Astyanax mexicanus: one gene and its partner. Each later gene encodes a partner of the first gene's protein in a complex. Links are inferred from orthologs where the notes say so. Each region holds a gene or a part of one and is shown on either strand. Other genes may lie near its edges.

What was found. Proteins that work in one complex are often made in the same cells at the same time.
Region 2: smc5 (region 1) and ndnl2 share a complex: the UniProt entries of both Homo sapiens proteins name them as parts of the SMC5-SMC6 complex. The link is inferred for Astyanax mexicanus from reciprocal best matches to the Homo sapiens genes SMC5 and NSMCE3.

The regions. Positions count from the first base shown.
Region 1 is NC_064427.1:23,098,765-23,105,833, forward strand, and holds the start of smc5 (structural maintenance of chromosomes protein 5), read right to left. Parts: upstream 3,008-7,069; 5' UTR 2,958-3,007; coding exon 2,779-2,957; intron 2,044-2,778; coding exon 1,902-2,043; intron 1,680-1,901; coding exon 1,627-1,679; intron 1,372-1,626; coding exon 1,209-1,371; intron 871-1,208; coding exon 736-870; intron 150-735; coding exon 9-149; intron 1-8. Other genes in the region: mamdc2b (MAM domain-containing protein 2), read right to left, coding at 4,327-4,370, 5,229-5,313, 5,412-5,671, 6,914-7,066. UniProt on the Homo sapiens protein: Core component of the SMC5-SMC6 complex, a complex involved in repair of DNA double-strand breaks by homologous recombination.
Region 2 is NC_064420.1:45,881,268-45,889,008, forward strand, and holds the start of ndnl2 (necdin-like 2), read right to left. Parts: upstream 3,010-7,741; 5' UTR 2,677-3,009; coding exon 2,623-2,676; intron 1,231-2,622; coding exon 1,111-1,230; intron 1-1,110. UniProt on the Homo sapiens protein: Component of the SMC5-SMC6 complex, a complex involved in repair of DNA double-strand breaks by homologous recombination. The complex may promote sister chromatid homologous recombination by recruiting the SMC1-SMC3 cohesin complex to double-strand breaks.

The DNA of each region.
Region 1 (7,069 bases):
ACACTGACCACCCAAGGCTTCTTTTTCTCCAACATCTGGATCATATCCAGATGTCTCCTCTTCATGTGGTACCGTTCCACATCCACCTTATTGCGCTCGTTCCTCTGCTTTGCTTTCTCTAGAAAGTTGGCCTTCTCTTTACACAAATTCTTTAGAAACACAGAAACACACAAAATAGCCCATAAGCATAGTATCCCTCAAATCAAATTAAATCAATCAGATGTAAATTTCATTTATTTTGGTTTTAAAATGTAAAAGCAAGTTCTTATTATTCCTTAAATATACAATACCCACACAAAGACTTAATCCCAGACTGCATGCTTTCTTTTATTTTAGTTATTTAATTGCATAATAAAATGATCATGAAGTTGCAATAAAGTTATGTATAGCAAATATTGCTGAAACTATTATACAGTTTAAGCAATAATAATCACCATGACAGGCCTACCGTCTGCCTTTATACACTCATACACTGTGTTACACTTATAGGGCTGGTTCCCTGAAGTGGGCTCAAAACTAGTCCTGGACTACAGAGCATTCTGCATGACAATATCAATGCATAACAATGCATTAACCAAAATAGCCTTAAGAATTAGCTCTAAATGATCTAAATTCATACATTACTGACAATAGAATGTAAAAACGCAACTACTCTAAAAGTAATTTCTCCTTTTCACCATCACGGCATGTCAATTTGTCACAGATTGATACAAACAGTCACAACAACAAATGTACCTCCAGGTCCCTCTCTTTGGTGCGACAGGTCTTCAGCTCACAGTGGAAGTTGTACATCTCTGGTGGTCCAACAGATTTTTCGGTGGCTTCAAGAAGCTCAATCTTACTCATTTTAGCGAATTCACCAACTTTCTCCTGTTGAGCAGAAGAAAGCACTGTAAAGGCAAAACTTGGTATTTAACGGCTAATGGTAATTTTGCACTCTTAACACTTAATATAACTGATCCAAGCTAAAAATTACACACACAGTATTTTTTGCCCTATAAGGGGCACTTAAAATCCTTATTTTTTTCTAAAAATCGACAGTGGGCCTTATAATTCAGTGCTCCTTATGTATAAATTATACCAGTCTGATATTAAGGAGCAGTAAAGCCACTCCGCTGAAATGCAGTGTTATAAGGGTAAGTGTTCAAAGAAGCCCGTATATATATATATATACACACACACATTGAACAGTTTGCACAGTTACTCACCTGAGGCAGAAACTGACAGAGGTTTCCGACCTGAATCTGGAGCTCCTTGACTGCTTCTTCCACAGCCTTCTGACTGGAGTGTTTACCGTTCATCATCCACACGCTCTGATTATTTTCTACATGGATCTCCCTGTTAATCACCAAGTTTCCCTCTTTCCTGTACCTGAATAAACAGTGGGTGAAGCATTAGACGACCTAGAGATGGACCTATTAAGAAATAGTTAGTCAACTGCTCACATCTTATATTGTTCGTGTTAATATATACCAGAGAAAATACTTAAACATTTAAAACATGCAAAAAAATACACAATAAATGGTTCATTAAATGATAAATAAAATGTTATGTCTATATTTTTTAAATTATATCTATCTTTAAAGATAGGAAGCGAGGACAGACAGACAGACAGACAATACTTACAGTTCAATTTCCACAGATCCTTTATGACAGCCTCTCTTAACATACAAGCTGACCTGAAAAAACAAATATACAATGAAAAACATGCAATAATGTTCATCAAACAAACAACATCAAACAAAGAGCTGATGCTCCCCATGTCAGGAAACAAGTCTGAATACCTCGGCTCAATATGTATGGCTCATTTGTGGTATCGAAGACCTACAACCCATAAACATATTATTATGTGTTCCTAAGAGTCTACATGAAATAAGAACAAACAGTGTTATCGGGCTTACCTTATCCCCTCTGCCCAGGATAGCAGTCTTCCCTGCCAGTCCAAGACAAATGGCACAGACAATACTCGACTTGCCAGTGCCATTGGCTCCCACTATCATATTTAAGTTGGGTCCAGGGTAAACCTCTGAGTGATCATATGTGCTGAAATAAAATGATGCAGAGCTTTCAGACCTCAAATAATGTTAAGAAAACAAGTTCATGTTCATAAAGTTTTTTTTAAGAGTTCAGAAAACAATATTTGGTGGAATAACCCTGGTCACAGTTTTCATGAATCTTGGCATGTTCTCCTTCACCTGTCTTACACACTGCTTTTAGATCATGTTTTGCCACTCCTGATGCAACAATTTAAGCAGTTCAGCTTGGTTTGATGGCTTGTGATCATCCATCTTGCTCTTGATTATATTCCAGAGGTTTTTAATTTGGTAAAATCAAAGAAACTCATACTCATAATTTTTAGGCAATATATACATATATATATATACATATACATACATATATATATATATATATATATATATATATATATATATATATATATATATATATATATATATATATATGCATATAGAGATATATTTAGGTAGATAGATAGTTATATATAAACATAGATAGATATTTATGCTAGCGCTAGTTAACAAGGTTAGTAACTTGTCATTAAATGTTTACAAACGTCAACCCAGAATATAAAACATGACCCTCCGCCTCCAGTTACACACATCACCCATAAATATAATATATAGACAGAAGTTTAAATACTCAGCACAGGCTGCTCTACAAATCATGAATAAACTCGTATTTATATTAGAGAATCTGAGCGCTGCTGCTGTATAACACTGTTAGCCTGTTAGCTTAGCTAGCGCTAGCTTAACTACTTACAGGAAGTTTTGCATGGTGATGCGGCGAATGGATCCCTCCACGCAGGGGCCGCTCTGCCCGTTCTCCTGGGCGAAGCTGCCATTCTGCGAGCTGCAGGGCAGCAGCAGGTTCTGGCTGTTGGGAAGCTGAGAGTTTGTTAAAATGTGACTTATTCTCCTCTTTTTGCTCTGGAGCGCCATTCTCCCGCACCTCTCCGCTTTCGTTTCGCGCCGCTGTAGCGCCTCATAGCCCACTGTCATTGGCCGCCGCCGGTCACGTGACTGGCGCGTCCCTCTCTTCATTCAGGTCAAGGATAAACATTCAGTTAAACCAGGAATTTACTGTTATATTTATTATATCTAATACGTTCTGTATACACCAATGCAAATTTAAAATATTTGTTTTTAGTAAGGTTTTTGAACTGTATAAACCATTTCTCTTGTTTTACTCGAATAAATATTTAGCAATCTTGGTCTCAAAGCAATTTATACTTTTGGTCTCTGTATCCCTTATGATCTGATTTAATTTAAGCTTTTTTTATAACTTCATGTGCTGTTAAAATGTCCAGCCCATATGCTACTACTAATTATTTACTACTACCACTACTAATACTACTACTAATAATAATATGCTGCTACTACTACTACTACTATACTACTACTGATAATAATAATAATAATGTAACCTATGTATGTTAACTTTGAACTTTTTATAAGGTAAAGATGTGCTGAGCAGTGTCTGTACCTGAAATGTATCATTAATAAAAAATCAGAATAAAAAAAATAAAAATCCAACAGATTTCCAACATAGAAGACAATATACATTTTGAGTGAAAAAGACATTTAAAAACTAGTTTCTCGCAAATTCAACTTAATAGAGAGGTTTAAAAAATCGATGTTAAAAATTCAATTTTATGACTTTATAATCTGGACTTACTTTACTGCTTTGCACTCGCAGGAATATTATTTTAGTGGCGAGTTCCCAACATTTAAAGTTATGTAACAGAAATAGACTGTATTAAACAATTTATTCACTAGAGGGCGGTAGGTGCTTATTTTATACACCAATAGCTTTCCTCCAGAAATCATGATACATTCATATATCATCTAATGCTTAATAATCATTTTATTTTTTATTTATCACGTTTTAAACTCAATTTTTTATCATTGGTGGAAATGGTGAAAATGGTTCAAAAATAAAATCTAATAAAATAAGAGTATTTAAAAAGAATTTAAACACATTTGTAATTCAGTATAATTTCCTCTTTATTAAAGATTCTCCATAAACACTATATCTACTCCATAGTTCAGTGATATGTATAAACCAAACATACTGCAGAACTGAGCTTTATTAAAAAATCTTTATCATGACGCAATCATATAGTACAAGCAAACTCGTAAAATCCTACTTTAATCTCCCAATCCAGATAGCAAATTTGTTTTCAAGTTAGTTACAAAGAGCGAGGAGCCAGGGATGACTGACTAACTCAAAAAACACATCTCCTCTTTTTCAAGTGTTCCCCCAAATTTTGTTAATTACGATTAACCTCTGTGTGCTGTATTTAATGTTTTATTCAATGTTGTTAAGATCTCCAGATGCTGGCCGGTCAGAATCTGTGGGAGGGAAAGAGAAAGAGTTTATTATTTTTACAATGCCTTGATGGGTGTTTTAGAGATGCCCAAGAATAATATTGTACATTTAATATTATTGAGTATTATTGAGACAAACACATCAAACTATTCATATATTGTTGTTATATTTTATGTGTAAGTGCTGTAAATGCCTGAAATTCGTTTCTTTTGTCGCCTAGAAAATACAGATAAACTGACCAGAAAAGGACAGTAACAGATATTGCTAAATGCTTATGCTAACCAGAGAAAAGACAATAGCTGACTGTAGGCTAATTGCTAATATTAGACTAGCCAGAAAAGGTAGAATTGTTAATGAAGCTTAAAGGAGAACCTATGGTGAAATCATGTTTAAAAAAAAGTAATGCGTGGCTCCAACTTAATAACTGAAATCCTAATGTGTGGGAACAAAATAATTAAGGCTTGAGAACAAGATCCTAATGTGTGGGAATGAGATAATTAAGGTGTTGGAACAAAATCCTAATGCGTGGGAACAACACAATGAAGGCTTGGGAACGAGATCCTAATGTATGGGAAAAAAATTATTAAGGCTTGAGAACAAGATCCTAATGCGTGGGAACAACATAATTAAGGCTTGGGAACAAGACCCTAATGTGTTAGAATGAGATAATTAAGGCGTGTGAACAAGATCCTAATGCGTGTGAACGAGATAACTAAGGCTTGGGAACAAATTCCTAATGCGTGGGAACAAAATATTAAGGCTTGGGAACGATTTCCTTATGTGTGGAAATGAGATAATTAAAGTTTGGGAATGACATCACATGATATCACCTTAGATTAAAAGGCATATTATAATCTGTGTATCATTAATGCGAGGAATACCTTTGCAGGGTCCCTTTTGAAATATGATGTCATCAATCGCAATATCACTTCGTAGAGACGGCCCCCGGAGAGCTTCAAAAACGATCTGAACCAGAAGAAGAAAGATACGTAACAATTACATGAAAATAAGATCTCTTTGAAAGTATGAACACTGGTGGATTGTGGGTAACTAAGTTTTCTTACTTGGTGTGAATGATCATACTGGTAGCTCACTGATGCTCTAACCCAGGAGATGCCCTGTTCTCCGCTGTGCACCCACAGGACCCTGTCTTCTTCCTCTAGATCTGAGCTCAGCAGGACGCTCAGCGTTCCTGTGCCAGAGCCGTACATATGGTAAAAGAACTGCAGGCACTGTGGACCTTTAGAACCGCGGAGAACGCTGGAGACCAGACGCGCTCTGTGGCCTGCAAACATCTGGGAGGCCTCGATGTGCAAATAGTGACCTTGGATGAGAAAAACAGACTGGACTGTAATTCAAGCAAGAATTCTGAAGTACAAAACAATGGGTTTAAGAGTAAACAGTAAAAAGATGATTAATAACATTTAGATGAAATATATACAGCTCTGGAAAAAAGTATCTTTGATTTTACCAAATTGAAAAGCTCTGGAATATAATCAAGAGGTAAATGGATAATCACAAGCCATCAAACCAAGATGAACTGCTTGAATTTTTGCACCAGGAGTGGAATAAAGTTATCCAAAAAGCAGTGTGTAAGACTGGTGGAGGAGAACATGACAAGACACATGAAAACTGTGATTAAAAACCAGGGTTATTCCACCAAATATTGCTTTCTGAACTCTTAAAACTTTATGAAGATGAACTTCTTTTTGAAGATCTACTTCTTTGCTTTATTTGAGGTCTGAAAGCTTTGCATCTTTTTTGTTATTTCAGCCATTTCTCATTTTCTGCAAAAATATGCTCTAAATGACAATATTTGTATTTGGAATTTGGGAGTAATGTTGGCCATATTGTTAATAAATAAAACAACAATGTTCATTTTTACTCAAATATATACCTACAAATAGCAAAATCAGAGAAAACTGATTCAGAAACTAAAGTGGTCTCTTAAAGCTCACCTTCCGTCGTTTTTTCTTTCATTTTAAAATGTCTAGTTGTGGTCTCTAGTTTGAATGAATGACATGTGAGCCGTTTTTGTAAAAAAAAAGTGCTCAGGTGTCTCTGTATAGCTCTTTTTTAATGGACTGTTTTAGGGGTGTGTCCAAAATGACCGGATTCCAGCTTTGCTCATGAATATTCATACATGCAAACAGCATGCAAATATCTCTCCTCTGATTGGCTAGGAGCACTGCGACGCCCCTCCACCGCTCTGCCGCTCACTGCCTCCCACCTCCTAACTGATGAGCGGTGATGTTGCGTCGCTTCAGCTCCGCCTCTGGGAGTTTCTCGAGCCAAGGTGGGCTGGTCTGTGAGTTTCTGCCTACGTAGGCAGAAAGATAATTCAAAATTCACCCGAGGGGGGGAGGGGGGATTTCTTTGCTTAGCTCCTGCAGACAATGGGGGCTGCAAAACAGTTTAATGTGCAGGTGTACACATTCAACTCAGAGAGACCTACTGTATTCCACAAAAAACAAGAAAAATCGGATTTTCGCGGAAGGTGACCTTTAATATTTTTTCCAGAGATGTTTATATATCTGAGTGTTTAATCAAAAAATGGATAACAGACCAACTCCAGTTGTGTGATCTCCTATTGGTCCTGTGTAGGATGTTGGTGTCGGGCCTTTAGCCAGAACCCAGTCTGCTTCATCACCGTGTTTGTCCTGTGTGTAGCCACACAGTCCAGTCTCGAAGTTACAGTGAGAAGGATGAGAAGGAGGTCCTG
Region 2 (7,741 bases), on another chromosome or scaffold:
ATGCATCCCCAGACCATAACGCTCTGGGGAAACTTGACGGATCTTTTCACGCACTCGTGGTTGTAGGTTTTGCCACCACGACGCCAGACACGAGGACCTTGGTCACCGAAGGAGATGCAGAAGCGTGATTCGTCACTGAAGACCACTTTCTGACAGTCTTCAGCAGTCCACTCGCCGTGTTCTTTGGCCCACTTCAGCCGTTTCTCCATTTGTTTCTTGTTCAGCATCGGTTTTACTGCTGGAACGCGAGATTTGAAGCCGAGTTCGCGCAGACGACGGTAAGTGGTTGATCTGGAGACGTCAGCGCCGGTCTGCTTGTTCCACAAGTCGGTGAGCTCGGAAGTGGACTTGAACCGGCTGCTTGTTGTCGCGAGCAGAAGTTTTTCGGACGCCGGAACAGTTGATGCGCTTGCTGCAGTTTTTCTTGAGAGCTTTGCAGACGGAAGACTGGCTGATGCCGAGCTGCTCAGCAATTTTAGTTTGGGTCAAGCCTTGTTGGCGAAGGGCTTGAATTTGAGCCACTATTCCTGTAGAGAGGTCGCGCTGCTTACCCATGATTGATTTTACAACTTAGAAATTCTACTCAACCCTGACTTTATACTGCACAGTGAACACTCTTCACAGAAAACAAAAATTCGAGCATTTATTCTAATTCAATTAAACAGTTTCTCCATTATTCTAATTCAATAAAACAACAGTGTCACAGTTAAATGGCCTAAATGGGCCTTTTGGAAAGCTCAGCTGAGCAATTTTTTTTCCAGGTAACGAGTTCTGTGATTAGTCTAACGAGTAGGACAGGTGCGGTGAACACCTGATTTGCTTTCTGCACAAAAAATGCATTCAAAGAATTTCATTTCATTTCATTTTCATTTCAGTTTTGCACTATTTAGAATTATTCTAATTCGTTCACCAGCACCTGTAAAGACACTAGAAAACACAGAACATTTATTAATGATGGTGCTGTAACTACATGCAATAGTCCTTCGTTCACACAAAGTGTACTGAACAGAGAAGAGACCGAACCATAATCCCATCCCATAATAAGCTCACATTAAAAAAAAAAAAAACACACTATGTGTATGTGTTTTGAATTTAATTAGACTGAGTTACCTTACGATCGACCTGGACAGGTGTGTAATTCTCCCTGGCCTTCTGGACCTGTGATGATGTTGGCTGTGTGTAGGATGCATCACCATCATCATCCTCGTCCAGTACCACCTGCTGCGAGCGCTGTGAAGATTTAAAGACATGCAGAACAGACATTGCAATCATAAATATTATAAGTTATAAATGTGTAAGTTGGATATCAGCACTGGCCCAGAATTCCCACATTGGAGACTCCCTGGAATATATGGAATATAAAGATGCAGTGCAGTAAAGAACACTGTTTAAAAAACACTTTTATTGTGGTAATTTCTGCCTCTGCAGCGTCCTCTCAGGTTAAACTGTGCTATAGGAGTGGATGATGCTAAAGGTGCCCCGCTTCTAAACCCATACATCACCCAGTGCCCTTCCCAAACTACACCTCTCATTGTTTAGCCTTTTTCAAATTTGATCTGAGAGTGAAGTCAGGGGGTTTAGCACCTCTTTAAACTAAAATCTTGTTAAGAAAATGATAATAGCTGATGATCGAATGTCATGATAAATTACGGTACTTTTACTTTTTTAAAACTTTAGTACACTTGAAGGCAAGCAGTTACTGATGTACTTTTACTCAAGAGGAGGTCTAAAGGGAAGACTTTTGTTTTTACTGAAATAATATTTTCTATCTTATATCGTCAGTAACTCTTCTTTAACTCAACCTATAATAACTAACTACAAGGTTTGGGTACTTTGTCCAACACTCAATAAAAAATAAACTAGGTCAAATGTAAAATAAATAATTGAACAAAAAATACTCAAAGGGTAAAAATGCATCAGTGTTTTATGTACAGAGCACACATCAGTTATATAACCTTGTTAAAAACTTGTTAGTTAACAAATTAAAATGCCAGCATTTTTTTTTCAGTTTTTGCCTGATATCACACCCCTATATCTTAAGGATTTCTATACAAACATTACATAAAAAGGTTTCATGTTTAATAAAAAACATTAATTATTTTTTTCAATATATACTATATTTATATATAAAATATATTTTAACAAATTTAAATCTGCAATTGTCAAAATATAGTGAATAAAAATCTGAAAATTGCAGCTTTTCTGAACTTAATTTTAAAATCAATATTTTCCTCAATACATATGAAACCGTTTATATTGCGGCAGTTGTCTAGTTTTTGTGTCTATTTTCAAACAAGTAGAATTTGATATATTATATTATCACACACACACATATATATATATATATATATATATATATATATATATATATATATATATATATATATATACCGTTATATATATCAATTTTTGTTATTAATCTGAAATTACGTGGAATAAATTAGAGAGAAAACAGGCAGCTTCTCCAAGTGACCTGTAGAAGTTTTCAGAATATAAATAACTTGTTATACAGCAGGGTTTTGGGTCAAGACTTGTTAGGGTTAACTAGGTAGCTAATAGTCATTTCTGCCAATAGTTATCAGGTATAAACAGTAGTTAAGTTAAATGTCCAGCTCTGCTTACCCTCGGTACTCTGTTCTGGGAGCCAGCATGCGCCACTCTCTTCCTCTGAGACATTTTTACAGCCCTGATATTACAGAAAATCTCTCTAATTAACTCAAATCACAGTTAAAATCCTCATTCCGGCAGCTCATAACAACACACCGTTAGAAACAGCTAACAGCAGCTAACAGCTAATAATCACACATTTACAGCGTTTAAAGCCGATTTACTCACACAGAGCCCCTCACTATTAGTTCTAAAGAGTGCTACACATAATCAAGAGTGTTTATCGCTTATATAAAACCCTATAAACACTATTTTACTTCATATTTAGGTCTAAAAACGAAGGCACACCGCGCAGTTTGGAACTTCCGTCTGTTTGGTCACGTGGTTGCTAAGCGCGGCATCTGATTGGCTGAATCGCGACGGCGTGTAAGTTAACACACCCGTTTTTAGAACAGTCCCGCGCGAATAATTCCTACCCGTATTTAGGGTGGCCAATCACAAAGCAGGATGGGGGGGGGGGGGGGGGGGCTAGGCGTCTTCCTAAATATTAGTATGTATTTATTTCTTGTTTTATTATTTATATGTAATATATACAGTACTAGTCAAAAGTTTGCACCCACAATCTCAGTCAATGTTTTTTTTTCCCTAATGAGAGCCAGTTCCATCATAGCGTCTTTGCAACTACACTCGATAAAGCTTTAAAAGTATTTTTTCTTTACTTAGTAGCTAAGTAGTGCTTGCTTCTCATAATCTGGATTAGAACTTTACTCAAATATACACTATTCACTGTATACCTGTAAATATACCTCTTCACTACTTTACAACTGATGCTCTCAAACACTTTATTAAGAGACAAGAAATTCAAGTAATTAGCTCTTGATGAGTTCAGCACAGCTGTTAACTGAAAGCCACAGAAAGCCCGGAGACTCTACCTCATAAAGCTGACTGAGAAAATTCAGCTAAAATGAGTAAAACTGTCTATCTAAGCAAGAGGTGCTACTTTTAAGAATGTAAAATGTGAAACATATTCTGGTTTGTTTAACACGTTCTATTTACTAAATAATTCCATGATTTTTTTTTATAGTTCTGATGACCCTAGTATTAATCTACAATGCAGTAGCAAAAATAGTTAACATAATAGTATTGGATGCTTTTTATATATAAATTACGAAATTAAGAGACCATTTTAGTTTCTGAATCAGTTTCTCTGATTTTATTATTTAAAGGTATATGTTTGAGTAAAACATTGTTTTTTTTCCCCAACTTCCTATTATATATTGTCATTTAGAGCATTTATTTGCAGGGAATGAGAAATCGCTGAAATTACAAAAAAGATCCAGAGCTTTCAGACCTCAAATAATGCAAAATAAACAAGTTCATATTTATTAAGTTCTTAAATCAATATTTGGTGGAATAACTCTGGTTTTTAATCACAGTTTTCATGCATCTTGAAATCATGTTCTCCTCCACCAGTCTTACACACTGCTTTTGGATAACTTTATGCCTTTACTCCAGCAGCTCAGCTTGGTTTGATGGCTTGTGATCATCCATTCTTCTCCTGATTATATTTACATTTACTCATTTTACTTGTCGTTGTTATTATGTATTATTATTTTCCAATTATTATTACATTTTCTTTGTAGTAATAGTAGAAATAATAGTATTGTTTGCTTTTTATGCATTTTTCAATCGATGTTTTTTAATGTTTATATTAGTTTTTTGTACTATATATTTTGTACTATACTACTTTGAGGTGTGAAAAGAAAAAAAAATTAATAACACAAATGTACACTCTTATCATTCACATGCAAAACACATGTTAGACAATGAAAACGTAGATTATGTTTCATCTCTTAAATGTTTATAATCCTACGAAACAGTCCTTGATCAGAACCCAACACAACCTTACTCCACATGGTGGCAGTATAGGACTTAGTTTATAGACCCAGACTAGGTCCACTAACAGTGACAGTGAGGCCAATACAACCTACTGAAGTCTGGCCTATTCTCTGGCTAGGCCTCAGTAGGGATTGATATGACGTTGCTTCAGTGTTGCTAAACAGTTGTATTTTATTGTATGTGGTTAATTGTTACTAGTGTGTTTTCATAATTTATAATATCATCTTGGAAATTTAACCTTTTTGCCTAAATTATCTCCTCATGATGCTGCAGGGCCAGCTTTGGTAAAATCCTGCATCCCTAGCTGATCAGATCATTTGATTCTACACCTAATGGCCTATAATGGCCTATGTCTACAGTAAGACTTTAGCTCATTTATTATTTATAATTTAAATATAATGTGACATTCAATTTTAATAGCTTTCCAAAAGTAGACTACCTTCACTGAACTAATTCCACCATTTATGTCTTGTCTCCAATGAATAAGTAATGACATTTTTGTTATAATATACTTCTTACTTCTTAATAATAAAGGCTATCGGCTATAAATATTACATAGTTGGCTCCGATACATTCGCTCACAGATGCCTTGTGCTGATCCACATCACCCTAGTAGTGATGAGTGGAAAAAGCGCCATCTACCTACCCGGAGAGAGCAAGGCCAATTTGTACTCTCTCAGGGCTTCGGCAGCTGATGACAAGCTGCATGACCAGGACCCTAACCAGTCATTGCTCATTTTTAAATAGCCAAGTGTAAGCTCTCACTAACTCTGTTTCTCTCTCTTGCGCACATACTATGTATAGCACTATCCGGACAGGATTAGTTTCTCAGGGGGACGGCTGTTTAAAATATTTCACATTTTTCTACTCAGTGATAAAACTATTGCATCCGGACTTTTTTTTTAATGCTTTTTCAATCACATGACATCGCGTTCAGTAGCTCCTCCATTTCCACTAGTTGTTATGTTTATTTTTAATTACGGTGCGCAGCAGTGGACAAATAGCTATTTTATTAAACGCGAGGTGACGAAACTCTGAGATGTGCATCTGGATAGTACTTAAAATATTGTAGGAAAATATTGTAGTTCTGCCTGTAATATTTTCAGAAACGAATCCAGTCCTCTGAGAAAATTACAGGCTGAATTACATACTGTTTTTCACTAAACTCTGTGGTCCTAGAATATAGAAGCGAGTGGAAATGGAGGAGCTACTGAACGTGATGTGACCGAGAAAACCAAAAAACTTACTGGTCCTCCTGTTTTTTTGTTTTTTTTTGTTGTGGTTGTATTTGCAGCGCGTTTTTCTATTTTTCTATTTTCTATCGTTATAATCGTGTTTACCCGACGTTAGTGATGGTGTTACTAATTATTTCAACATTAGTGTTCTAGGGTTAAGGAAGCAAAGTCTTGCGGTAAAAAAGTGTGATTAGTCGTGATTAATTTGATTATTTTCATACATTTTTTAATCAGTCGACAGAACTAGTATTAACCATAGGGTGCGGGTGTCAGTCAGCCCTGCACATGTGTTGTTTAACTCTCTAATTTTTCAGCTGCTTGAGGAGGAGAAAAAGAAGAAGAATAAAGATAGATGGGCCTAAAAATCCTTTACAAGCGAAGCTGTTTCAGCAGCGGGGAGGTTAATTTCACTCCCCATAAATTACAGCAGTTGAGTTCCTCCCTCCTCCTCCTCCTGTTACTCTCCTCGTGCTGTGTTGTTCCAGTTCCCCCCTCCCTCCCGCCGGCGAGCTGCACACACACAGCTGGGGAAGAGAGAGAGAGAGAGAGAGAGAGAGAGAGAGAGAGAGAGAGAGAGGGATTTGTGTGTGTGAGTGTGTGTTTGTGTGATAGCATTGTGCCAAGGGCAGGGAAGGGCAGGCGGGCCCAGACTGAGTGGCGCCGGCGCACACCTGGGGAAGTTCAGGTTAAATAGCTCCACATTCCTCGGCGCACAGCTGATTGAAACATTAACAAACAGTAATCCGTGAGCCAAGCTGCAGATGGGCCGGGACCACGGCCAAGCAGAGGGGAAAAAAGGCTTGCTGGGCTGTATATAGTGTGTGTGTGTGTGTGTGTCTCTCTCTCTCACTGGCTTAGTGCTTAGTTACACTAGTGCATGCATTTGTTATTATACACACTAATTGAAACACTTGTGGATCATGTGCAGAGAGATGATGTACAGTATCTGCTCAGTGTCTCCTGTGGTTCTTTAAAATCAGAACCATCTGCACTGATTTAATACACAATTAAACAATTTTAGTCCGCTTACATTGTTTTGCATAAGAAAAACTGATAATAAACGAACTTAATAAATTTGTGAATATTAAAAACACTTCTCTCCAAAAAAAAGTGCAACTTTACAGGAGAGAGAAAAAACCTTGTAAACTTTCAGTGGAAGTCAATGTAAGAAGACTTGATTTCAGGTCGTTTTGAAGTGTTTCTATTGGCCCGTTCATCAAGAAATTTTGGCACAGTGGCACAGGGACAGTTTGTCTGTTCAAATTATGTAGTAAACTAAAAACCTACCAAAAAATGGAGATAAGTGTTTTTCATAGGACAGCGACGATTTACTGTAGACATTTTACTCATTCATTCAAAAAGATGCATTTGCTGTTTTTTTTTCCAGCAAGACAATGCAAATCCACATGATTGCACATGATGCACACATTGCAAAAAGCATGGCTATAGAATTAGAAAGTATGAGTATGTGAATTGTCCATTTTAAAACAAGTCCCCATAATGTTGCACACTTGAAGACGTGTTTAAATTGTGAATTGTGATAAATTAAACACTTAATTAAACACTTAAAATTCATTGCTTGATATTATTGGTTTCACTTAAATTTTTTCTAATGAGCTCAACTACAAAACTTTTCACACTAAGTGTGAAGTGTCCAAAAAAGCATGTTTTGGACATTATTAAGGTTGGAAAATAAGTTCCTCACACTAGATTTTTAGCTGTGAAGTACTTTACATTAGAAAGAACCACTTTTATGTAATAAAGTATCCTTTAAATCTATGAGGAAAGTTCTTTATGACATTTTAAAAAATGTCTTCTAAGACATTGCTCAATATTAAACTATAGAAAGCATCTTTATTGCCTTAATAAAACAGGCTTAAATTAATTGGTACATTTGTAGTGAGAACCAGCAATTTAAAGGCCAAAACATTGAACCATTTCAGCTATTTTCTATTAAAAAAACTTGTTTTTTTGGCTCATCAATGACATTTCTATAGTGT